2 linked regions of the Canis lupus familiaris genome follow. The protein of the gene in region 2 interacts with the protein of the main gene of each other region in a biochemical or structural test. Links are inferred from orthologs where the notes say so. Each region holds a gene or a part of one and is shown on either strand. Other genes may lie near its edges.

Evidence for each region.
Region 1: the proteins of EIF4G1 (region 2) and EIF4A1 form a complex in vitro, tested with the Homo sapiens proteins (3 studies listed by IntAct, with this or other methods). The link is inferred for Canis lupus familiaris from reciprocal best matches to the Homo sapiens genes EIF4G1 and EIF4A1.

The regions. Positions count from the first base shown.
Region 1 is NC_049226.1:32,704,769-32,710,147, forward strand, and holds the end of EIF4A1 (eukaryotic initiation factor 4A-I), read left to right. Parts: coding exon 1-123; intron 124-155; exon of another isoform or gene 156-276; intron 277-499; coding exon 500-639; intron 640-951; exon of another isoform or gene 952-1,096; intron 1,097-1,910; coding exon 1,911-2,079; intron 2,080-2,186; exon of another isoform or gene 2,187-2,324; intron 2,325-2,418; coding exon 2,419-2,528; intron 2,529-2,756; coding exon 2,757-2,900; intron 2,901-2,981; coding exon 2,982-3,119; intron 3,120-3,216; coding exon 3,217-3,306; intron 3,307-3,343; exon of another isoform or gene 3,344-3,484; intron 3,485-3,553; coding exon 3,554-3,633; intron 3,634-3,731; coding exon 3,732-3,876; 3' UTR 3,877-4,384; downstream 4,385-5,379. Other genes in the region: CD68 (macrosialin), read left to right, coding at 5,013-5,061, 5,138-5,379. UniProt on the Homo sapiens protein: ATP-dependent RNA helicase which is a subunit of the eIF4F complex involved in cap recognition and is required for mRNA binding to ribosome.
Region 2 is NC_049255.1:17,362,971-17,368,681, forward strand, and holds the start of EIF4G1 (eukaryotic translation initiation factor 4 gamma 1), read left to right. Parts: upstream 1-1,656; 5' UTR 1,657-1,802; intron 1,803-2,622; 5' UTR 2,623-2,679; intron 2,680-2,902; 5' UTR 2,903-2,936; coding exon 2,937-2,996; intron 2,997-3,234; exon of another isoform or gene 3,235-3,294; coding exon 3,295-3,381; intron 3,382-3,887; coding exon 3,888-3,908; intron 3,909-4,490; coding exon 4,491-4,667; intron 4,668-4,892; coding exon 4,893-4,992; intron 4,993-5,402; exon of another isoform or gene 5,403-5,421; intron 5,422-5,711.

The DNA of each region.
Region 1 (5,379 bases), on a different chromosome or scaffold from region 2:
ATGAGATTGTTGACAGCTTTGATGACATGAACCTCTCCGAGTCCCTTCTCCGTGGCATCTATGCTTATGGTTTCGAGAAGCCTTCTGCCATCCAGCAGCGAGCCATTCTTCCTTGTATCAAGGGTAAGCCTCCTGTCCCAGGACAGGTTCTGGGCTGTCCCTAAACTGGGTACAGTGGTATCTGGTTGGTGCCTGTCTCCTATCAGTCGGGGACCGAGCAACTCCTTGTTTATCCAGGCTTGGCTTTTGGTCTGTGTTCATGCCCTGGCCACATGCATGGCTGGTTTGATTTCTGCTGGTACCTGTTTCTGAGCTTTGTGCAGTACTGAATGAGTTAATGTTCTGTGTGGGCACTCTGTTGTCATGGGGTAAAGTCTGTGGAGCACGTCATGCTTGGCACATGGCTCCATCGGCTTCTTGTGGGTAAAGTAAAGCCTTGAACATCTCATGACTCTGAAATGTATGTATTCTCATGTCTTGTTTTTCTCGATCTATTTAGGTTATGATGTGATCGCTCAAGCCCAATCTGGGACTGGGAAAACAGCCACTTTTGCCATATCGATTCTGCAACAAATTGAATTGGATCTAAAGGCTACACAGGCCTTGGTCCTGGCACCCACTAGGGAGTTGGCTCAGCAGGTGAGTATGTAGGCTTTTTTGTTCCTCCCCTGAAGGACTGCTTTAGAAATGTGGTCCTTAAAAAAAGCATAGATGTGTGTTCCTCAGGACCACTATCTATTTAAGAACTGAATGGTTGGGGGGGTGGGGACTGTGTAAAGAAATAAGTTGAGGACTTCCGGATGTTTGAGAGCTTGTTAGGATTAATTACGAGGTCTTTCCTACCCAAACACAATAAGCATTATTTTCTCCACCCATTTCCTGAGTCAAATGAAAAGGTTGCAAGGTGGAGCCTGGCTGGCTGGGCAAGTTTGGTGGCTGTTTTATGAACAAACCCCCTGGCAATGGGCAAAGAGACACCTTGGTGGTGGTGGTGCTCTTATATCAGCCAGGGGCAAAGCAGACGGGCAGTCCTGTGTTCATCCTAGCTTGATGCCTGGATTGGTGGCCAGAGCTGTTTCATGCCTAGGGCACATAAAATTTTAATGAGACCTTTCTTGGGTCTTGGTGGAGAAAGGGTCAGAAATGCTAGTCTCATAAGTAGGATATTAGTTTTATGGTGAGTTTAGGATGATTCTATGCTTATCGGTGAATTGAGGTAAGGTACTGTAAGTGAAGAGTTCTGGAAGAATTCAGTAGGGCCTTAATGTATGTGCAGAACATGCTCTTTTAAAAAAAGCGAACGGGGATCCCTGGGTGGCGCAGCGGTTTGGCGCCTGCCTTTGGCCCAGGGCGCGATCCTGGAGACCCGGGATCGAATCCCACATCGGACTCCCGGTGCATGGAGCCTGCTTCTCGCTCTGCTTCTCTCTCTCTCTCTCTCTCTGTGACTATCATGAATAAATAAATAAAAAAAAAAATCTTAAAAAAATAAAAAATAAAAAAAATAAAAAAAGCGAACGTGTCACCTAGCACAGGTTCTGTGGCAGGAGTTCAGTAGGACACGGGTAGATGGCCTTCCATTCATAAAACTAGTTGGAGTGAGATCAAATCAATGGGTCGTCATGGCTTTTAGAAAGGGCTGTTAGTGTGAATCCTTGTATTCTTAGGAGCCAGACCAAGCTCAAATCCTGAGCCTGCCACTTACTGGCAGTGTGATCTTAAGTGAAGTATCTGCCTGTTTCTTGTCTGAAAAGTGAGTTTAATGGTGCACGTCTGAGTTGGAGAGAACACTAGAAGCATTTTATTTATTTATTTACTTACTTATTTTTTATTTTACTAGAAGCATCTTAAACGGGACCTGCCTTGATCATAGCTCATAATTGGGTACATTTTTTTTTTTCTGAGTCCAGATACAGAAGGTAGTCATGGCATTAGGAGATTACATGGGTGCTTCCTGCCATGCCTGCATTGGGGGGACCAATGTACGTGCTGAGGTGCAGAAGCTTCAGATGGAGGCTCCTCATATCATCGTGGGCACCCCGGGTCGTGTGTTTGACATGCTGAACCGGAGATACCTATGTGAGTCTGGCTGTCCTCTTTAACCCTCCCACTCGTGCCTTCCCCCCCCCCCCCCCCCCTTCGCAGTGTCCTCCTCTGACGGGCTAGCATGCACCTGGGAAAGAGTTGCTCTGTGATGAGCCCATGCGTGTCATCTGAGCCTGGCTTCCCCGTCCTCAGCCCCGGGGAGTGTTCTACTTCCCTGGCCTGTCAGCTGGCCTCGTGTGGGAGTCTTGGCAAAGGATCAGCCTTCGTATCCTGAGAGCAGATCTCTTGTTCCTTAGTGTTCTCGATCAGGAACTTGAAGTTTGGTTTCCTGGTTCCCTCACTACTGTCCATTGGGGTTTTCTCCTCTTGTAGCTCCCAAATATATCAAGATGTTTGTACTGGACGAAGCTGATGAGATGTTAAGCCGTGGATTCAAGGACCAGATCTATGACATATTCCAAAAGCTCAACAGCAACACCCAGGTGAGAAAGGGGTTCACAGACTCTAGTGGGCGGTCAAGGTTTCCTTTGTAGGTGGCTGTGTGGTGGGGGTCACAGCAGCAGCACATGCTGCAGGAGCCACAAAGAATCCGGGGGCCTCAAGCCTTTTCATGCCCTAGCTTCTGCATTAGGCGACAACTTACTTGCTTGCTAGGGGAGGGGGGGCCAGCCTGGAGGATCCCCTACCCCAAGGCTGCTCTTTCCCATTAGGTGGTTTTGCTGTCTGCCACGATGCCTTCTGACGTGCTTGAGGTGACCAAGAAGTTCATGAGGGACCCCATTCGGATTCTGGTCAAGAAAGAAGAGTTGACCCTCGAGGGCATCCGCCAGTTCTACATCAACGTGGAGCGAGAGGTGGGGCCCGGTGCAGGGGGGGGCTTGCCTGGCTGTACATCCCTGGGTAGAGCCCCTCACTGATCTCCTTCCCCCTCCCAGGAGTGGAAGCTGGACACGCTGTGTGACTTGTACGAGACTCTGACCATCACACAGGCAGTCATTTTCATCAACACCCGAAGGAAGGTGGATTGGCTCACCGAGAAGATGCACGCCCGAGACTTCACCGTGTCTGCCATGGTGCGTTCTCTCCCTTGTTCCCCGTAGTGCCCGTGTGCCTGGGCCTCCGAGCCTGTGCGCCTGTGACACGCGCCCTCCCCTCTGGTCCCCACTATAGCACGGAGACATGGACCAGAAGGAGCGAGATGTTATCATGAGGGAGTTCCGCTCGGGCTCTAGCAGAGTACTGATTACCACTGACTTGCTGGTGAGTAGGGAATGGAGAACCCTGGGAAGGAGGGAGGACCCAAGCTGATTCCCTCTCCAGGGGGCTTGCTTGTGCCCCCCTCAGGAAAGTAGCAACTTGGAATAAAATGTGACATGCCTCAGGGTGCTGGGAAGAGGGGCTGCTGTTTCCTTTGCCTTCCCTTTGGCTGCCTACACACACAGCGGTCCCTGCTACGCGCACTGGTCCCCCACCCTTCCTCCTGCTGACCTGTCCTCTCCCGACCCAGGCCAGAGGCATCGATGTGCAGCAGGTGTCTCTAGTCATCAACTATGACCTTCCTACCAACAGGGAAAACTATATCCACAGGTAAGTGCAGATCTAAAATGTTCCCTCCCCCAGCCCTGAGCTCAGGCTCTGTCCTGCCCCCATCCTGAGCCAGACTGAACCTGTCCTATTCTCACCAGAATCGGCCGTGGTGGACGATTTGGCCGGAAGGGTGTGGCTATTAACATGGTGACAGAAGAAGACAAGAGGACTCTTCGAGACATCGAGACTTTCTACAACACCTCCATTGAGGAAATGCCCCTCAATGTTGCTGACCTCATCTGAGGGGTGGTCCTGCTACCTAGCCTGACCCTGGCCTCAGTCTGGGGGGGGCAGAAGAGCAGGAGGGGGGAGGGAAGGGAGCCAAGGGATGGACATCTTGTCATTTTTTTCCTTTTTTTTTTCTTTGAATAAATGTCACTTTTTGAGGCAAAAGAAGGAACGTGAACATTTTAGACACCCTTTTCTTTGGGGCAGGCTCTTGCTCCAGGCGCCGTCTCTTCTCCCAAAAACACTAATCCATCTCCGTAACCTAGTCAACCTCCAAACCCCAGAGGCTCTCCCCCACCCCAGCTACGTGCCTCTTCAGAGGCTGCCAGGGGCCATAGTGTCACTCAACCTCATTTGCTGGACCAAATCTGGAGAATCCCAGAGTTAAATGGCCCAGAGGATTGTCCCCAGGTGGGGGGGAGCAGGGGAGAAAAAGTGGTAGCCATTTTTACATTGTTTTGTATAGTATTTATTGATTCAGAAAACAAACACAAAATTCTGAATAAAATGACTTGGAAACTGCCTGTTTGGGCTTCTCATTTCTTGCCTCCCCTTCCCTCCCACCTGTGTCCCAGGGCCTCCCTGGCTGGGGCCACCACTCCACCCCCAGTTCATAGTCCCTCAAGTTTCCCTTGGGTTTCCTTTTTTTGTTATCCTCTCCCTGCTGACCCGCTAGTGGGGTAGCATTTGTTGGCTAGTGACCCACTCTAAAGGCCAAGACGCAAGCACCATCATAAGTGCCTCACATGTTCTGTCAAGAGGAAGTGACAAATGGAAAAGAGGGAATAGAAACACTTAACCCCTAGAACTGGAGGACATAAGCAAGGGGTGGGGTGCTGTTCCCCGCTGGTTCTGTAACCCCTCCGGCCCACCAAACAGGCTGAAGTAGACAAGTAGGTCCGCAAGGACCAACTGTCCCCAAACTCCGCATCTACCTGTGATATTGAGGCTGGTGACCCATCCCCTCACTTGGTGACGGGTTCAATGACTAAGTGATTGGTGGCTGGGGCTGAGGTGCCTGAGTCAGGCTGGGGGTGGACTGGGCTGCCACAGGAAGTCAGACACTTAATTCCTCTTCCAAAAGAAGGCAGAGGCTACAGGCTGGTGTTGAACACACCGTCCCGCACCGACTGGGGTGAGGCCGATCGGTTATGAGGCCAGCCGTGTTTTTCTTGGGGGCCTTGGTGGGGCTGCTAGCAGGTAAGGGGGGGCCCGAGGGGAAGGGGCTCAGGGGGACACTGCCCCATTGCTAACCAACCCTCCCCTCTGCTCCAAGCCCAGGGGACCCGGAGCGACTGTCCCCATAAAAAGTCGGCCACCCTGCTGCCCTCCTTCACGGTGACCCCTACGGCTACAGAGAGCACAGGAAGCCCTGGGACCACCAGCCACAGCACCACCACCGCGGAGACCACCAGCCATGCGCCCAACACCACCACTCACCAGGCCCCGACAACCCCGGGGCACAGAAACACCACCATTCACCCAACCACGAGCAACAGCACAAGCAACACCACGGGC
Region 2 (5,711 bases):
ATCCTGGGGTCCTGGGATTGAGTCCCACATTGGGCCCCCTACAAGGAGCCTGATTCTCCCTCTATGTCTCTGCCTCTCTCTGTGAATCTCTGATAAATAAATAAATAAAATCTTAAAAAAGAATACATGGGCACTAACATGTACAAAGTTGCAGTGAAGGACCGTTGAGTAAGGAGAGATGACAGGTTCCTGTGTGGGCATACACAACTTGAGATGCCGGTGGGATGATCCGGTGGAGTGGTACCTTGTTGTAACTGGAGTTCGAGAGATAGGTTTCAGGTTAGGAACAGATTGGCAGGTGGGCAGTAATTGATTTTTATATATTAGCTTGCTTAGGGAGAAAGAAATGAGAAGAGTAGTCACAGAATGAAGAGTCAGAGAACGCTAGATCTGCATTTTCACTCACTATGATTCCTCCTGCATGAATTTATTTTGCTGTCCTTTGGAGCTCCAGGTCCTCATATACAGCGGTAAGAACAACACAATTTTTAAGAGATTTTATTTATTCACTCATGAGAGTGAATAATTCACTCATGCCTCTCTCTCTCTCTCTGTCTCTTGTGAATAAATAAGAGGCAGAGACACAGGCAGAGGGAGAAGCAGGCTCCCTGCAAGGAACCCGATGTGGGATTCGATCCCAGGACAGGAGGATCACCGCCTGAGCCAAAGGCAGACACTCAACCACTGAGCCACTCAGGTGCTCCAATGCAATCTGTTTTTATAGAAAATTGTGAAGATTGAGATCACATAGGTCATATATATTAATTGACCACATTATCATTGGTACAGAGAAAATGTTTTCTTCTGAGATTGTATGTGTGCACATACACACATGCACACCCACAGATCGTGCACAAGAGTGTCTTTGCCACGTATGTAAGCACATAGGCACCGTTTCGAGCCCTTTTCACATAAATTAACTCTAATCTTCACAATCCAATAGTGTGGATGTTATTGTGAGAGAAAGCACCGCGGTTAAAAGCTCGGACTTGAGCCAGACTGCCTGGTTTCCAGCCTTCCCATTTTACAAGAATAGGTAATAGTAGGTAGTAAGTGACCTGGCCAGGAAGTAGGGTTTGGATTAAAACCTCGGATATCTGAGTACCTGGATTTGGCTCTAGGGCGATTCCTCCGGGTGCCAAAAGTCTTTTGGCTGCAGGGCAGGAATTTTGGGATTACTTCTTCCTTCGTTATTCTGAATTTTCCGTGACTGACTTCTGTCCCTCCCTGGGAGTGGCTGATCTCTGTAAAGCAAAAGATCGACTCTTAACTAGTTCCTTAAAATGTTTCAATCCTTTTTAGCCTCGCATTCAACTTAGTAAGTATTTCAATCGCTTTATTTTCAAAGGCTGCCCAGTGTGTACTTCTTTGCGCATTTGTATCGTGACTTATTTAGGCAGGACCGAGTAACAAATCTCGGCATTCTCAGCACGCCCTCCCTCCCCCGCCAGCACCTCGCCTGGTACTTAGCATGCACTCAATAAATGCCCGTTCAAAGAATGAATGAACTAAAAGAACCGCGGAATAGAGACGCAGAGGGGGGTCGGTCTGGAAGTTCCAAAGTTCGGGAGGGGACAAGGGGGCGGGCAGCGGCTGTCACGTGACGGGGCTGGGCGAGCGGGCCGTACTCCGCGGCGCCGGGCGCGGCTCCGCCCCCTGCGCCGGTCACGTGGGGGCGCCGGCTGCGCCTGCGGAGAAGCGGTGGCCGCCGAGCGGGATCTGTGCGGGGAGCCGGAAATGGTTGTGGACTACGTCTGTGCGGCTGCGTGGGGCTCGGCCGCGCGGACTGAAGGAGACTGAAGGTAAAGCCGCCATGTCCGGGCCCGACCCGGCCCCCCCACCCCCTCCCCCCGCATCCGCCGCCATCCGGGCCGGGACCGGCCACCCTGCGCCGCCGCCCCGGCGCCCTGGCCCCGCGGCCCAAGCCCGGGCCCCGGCCCGCCAGGGCCCGATCCCTGGCCCACGTGTGCCCGGCCTGGCCCGGCCTGGCTGCTGGGTGGGGGTGGGGGAGCGCGGGGCCGGAATGTGCGGTCCCCGCGGGCTGCTGGGGCGCCGGGTTCGCCGGCCGCGAGGTGCCACCCCGGCCTGACCCGAGGGGGCCCCGCGGGCGCAGGCACCGCGGCTCCCGGCCCACCGCCCCCTCCCCCCTTTGCGGCCCGGCCGCCGGGAAGTGACACGTTGTTCTTTGGCACTGGCCGGCGCTGCGCAGGGAGGGCGCAGGGGAGGGAGGCGGCAGCGGCGGGCAGGGAGGAGCCCCCGGCCCCGCCCGCCCTCCGGGCCGACCCTCGCTTGCTAGGAACCGGCTTCTCTTCGGCCGCCGCCCGCCTGGCCTTTTAGGGCCCGACTCCCGCCCTTCCTGGCCTCCAGTCCTGGGCGGCGGCAGGCCTCGCGACCGGCCCCGTGCGGGCGCCCCCGCGGCCACCCGCAGCAGGCGTGCCTTGTGTGCCCCCGGGCCTGGCCCCGAACCCGGTGTCCCCAGGTGGGGGGTGGGGACACCACGGCCGAAGCTGCTAGCTCCGTTTGTGATCCGGGAGCCTGGTGCCAGCGAGACCTGGAATTTCCGGTCTGGTTGGTCTTGGGCCCCGCGGAGCCAGGTTGATACCCCTCACCTCCCAACCCCAGGCCCTCGGATGCCCAGAACCTGTAGGCCGCACCGTGGACTTATTCTTAACCGAGGGGGTGAGTGAGGGGGCTGTTTGAGCAGACCAGGGGGGTGGTTGGAGGTGATGCGGGTTTGACAACGTGTTGGTGGGGACGTAAGCTGGATCTTTTCTGCTCCTTCACCCCGGTCGCACCTCCGAGACTCGGTGTGGGACCCAGCCCTTGGTTCAACCCTTCCCCCACTCCGCTTGCCTTCAGCTTGGGTCCCTTCCCCTTTCCGAGCTCCACTCTTTCCCAACAGGTGCTGGGGGGACCCTGATGTGGCACCAAATGAAATGAACAAAGCTCCACAGCCCACAGGCCCCCCACCTGCCCCATCCCCTGGACTCCCACAGGTAATTAGGGAGGAATTAGCAGAGACTGGGGTGGGGGTGGGGGAGATCAGGCAGCTGGTCAGGAACAGGTTCCAACCTCTGGATTTTCCCACCCCCATCTGTGTCAGGGCAAAGTGCAGCTTCCTGCTGCCAAATTGAGACAGGGCCCCTGGGCTGTTCCCAGGGGCTGTCATGGGGAAGAGGGGGCATGTGGACTGCTGAAGCTCTTGCCACAGGTCTGCTCCCCTTACTTTACCAGCTTAGGTTTCTGCCCCACCCGGGTTTCCCCTCTTGCTGAACTCTGGTCTCCCCCCTTCAGCCTGCGTTTCCCCCGGGGCAGACAGCACCGGTGGTGTTCAGTACGCCACAAGCGACACAAATGAACACGCCTTCTCAGCCCCGCCAGGTGAGGGGCTCTGGGGAGGGGAGTAGGGGGCCTGGGTGGGAGCCATGGAAAGGTTAGGCCAGTTCGGGCCGAGGATGGAAACTGTGGAGGCCCTGTACCTGCCCCAATTTCCTGACAGTTGCTCTGTGTTCTTTCATGCGGCTCTGCACTTTGTGCTGTTGATTACTTACGGTGGCTGGCCCCTTGGGGAGTATGTAGTCGGTGGGGGTGGCATTACTAGGGGTCCTGGTGCCTTGAGAATTGGGAGCAGCGCTTCGGGCCCTGCTGCCAACTCCTGTTCCTATTTCCTCCTTTTCCTGGGAGGTTGTGATTGCTCCGCTCCGCTCCCCTTCCCTTCTTTCTCTTTGGACTGTGGCGAGATAAACACTCCATCTGGTTCTTGCCTTTCTCTGTTCCCTAAATTCTTCCTCACTAAGTGGGGACATTCTTGTCCTACTTCCTTCATTGTTTTCTCTCTCATCACCTTGGGGATAATTCTCTTCTCTCCTGTCCCCATGTGCTCTCAGGGAGGATTCAGGTCTCTGCAGGTAATACCCCTTTGCTAATTCTGGACCCTCTCACGGTCTCACCCTTCACCTCTACCCTAGTCAAGGGCTAGACACAGGGACTGGGGGGTCTTCAGGGTGGGGACATGTTTGCTGTTAAGGTTCTCAGTCTGACACTGACTGATGCATGCTAGAGGCTAGATCTTGCAGATTGCAAATCTGGGAACTGGGAGACTGTTGCATGTTAGTGGTTAGCTCCTCTGTACCTTAGGGTGGAGCAATGCATGCTGGGGAGTATGTTGCTCAAAAGGGCTTTACTTGGGCATGATGCATCTGGGTGTTAGGAAGCCTTTGCAGAGGGGTAGCCTGGTAGAGGTGACATGAGTATTCACGGTAGTGAGGGAGTAAATATTCGTGGAGTGCAAAGCGCATACCTCAGTGTGGAGGGTATGTGTGAGTACAAGAGGCCACCTAACCATCAGTTTGGTTAAGTGGGTGAGGATTGGCCCCCGTGCTCCAAAGCCCCCAGTATTTTTCTCCAGACTAGAGACATGGCGGAGTGGCCATTTTGGATGTCCACTTCCTCCCTTTCCCAACGCCAACTGCCTTCCTCCCTCTTGACAGCACTTCTACCCTAGCCGGGCCCAGCCCCCGAGCAGTGCAGCCACCCGAGTGCAGAGTGCAGCCCCCGCCCGCCCTGGCCCAGCTGCCCATGTCTACCCTGCTGGATCCCAAGTAATGATGATCCCTTCCCAGATCTCCTACTCAGCCTCCCAAGGGGCCTACTACATCCCTGGACAGGTGAGGTTGGAGGCTTGGGGGCTGGAAGCCATGGAACCTTTAAACCTCAATCCTCCTCTCCCTTTACCCTGATCCTCCAGTCCCATCTCTTCTCCAGAGGTGGGACTTCTTCTGGTCATTGCCCACAGTTGGCTTGTCCTGTCTTGCTCTGCATTCTCTTTGGCCTGATAGGGTACTCATAGCTCCCTCAACTCCTCTCCCCTCCTCTTCCCCCTTCCCCACCAGGGGCGTTCCACATATGTTGTCCCGACACAGCAGTATCCTGTACAGCCAGGAGCCCCAGGCTTCTATCCGAGTGCAAGCCCTACAGAGTTTGGGACTTACGGTAAGCAGGGGAAGGAGTCAGGTGAGAGTGAGTCCCAGGGAGCACCTAAACTCACCTACAAATTCCTAGATCCTTCCTAGCCTTATTTCTTGATCTAAAAATGATAGGGTTAGTAGGTAGTAGAGATTGGTGCTTAATATATAACTGGTGTTGGGTGCGTAGGGGGGGTGGAGCAGGGAGCATTTTATCCTATTGATGAGAGTTGGAATTCCTTGCCATGCCAAAGAATATAGGATCAGATACAAGTTTGAGGGGCCTGTTAATAAACATTCCCAGTGACACTTGTTCCGTGGTTGGTGGGAGCCCATGTAACGTGAATTTGGGAAGTTTTTGTAGCTGTTTTTCATTTATATTCTAGGAAAGGATTAGTCTGTTCTTTATGGCAGTGGTTTCCAAAATTTTTTGATCATCTATCAGGAAAAATTTTGAGTATGTACCTCTAATACATGTATGTTTTTGTTTGTTTATACATATGCATCATTTAAACAACACACTTAATGTTCCTTGTCAAAAACAAGTGGAGATTATGGATGAGATTAAAGAACACATCCCATTTTGGAGACCATTGCTTTAAGGAATTAATTTTTCCACATCCTGGGCCTGGTTCATAATGTTACTCTTTGTTTCCTTGCCCCTTAGCAAAGGGCTGGAGACTGGAACTGGACTCAGGTTGAGTGGAACAGGGTTGGCAAATCTGTTTTTCTCATTCCCAGCCAAAG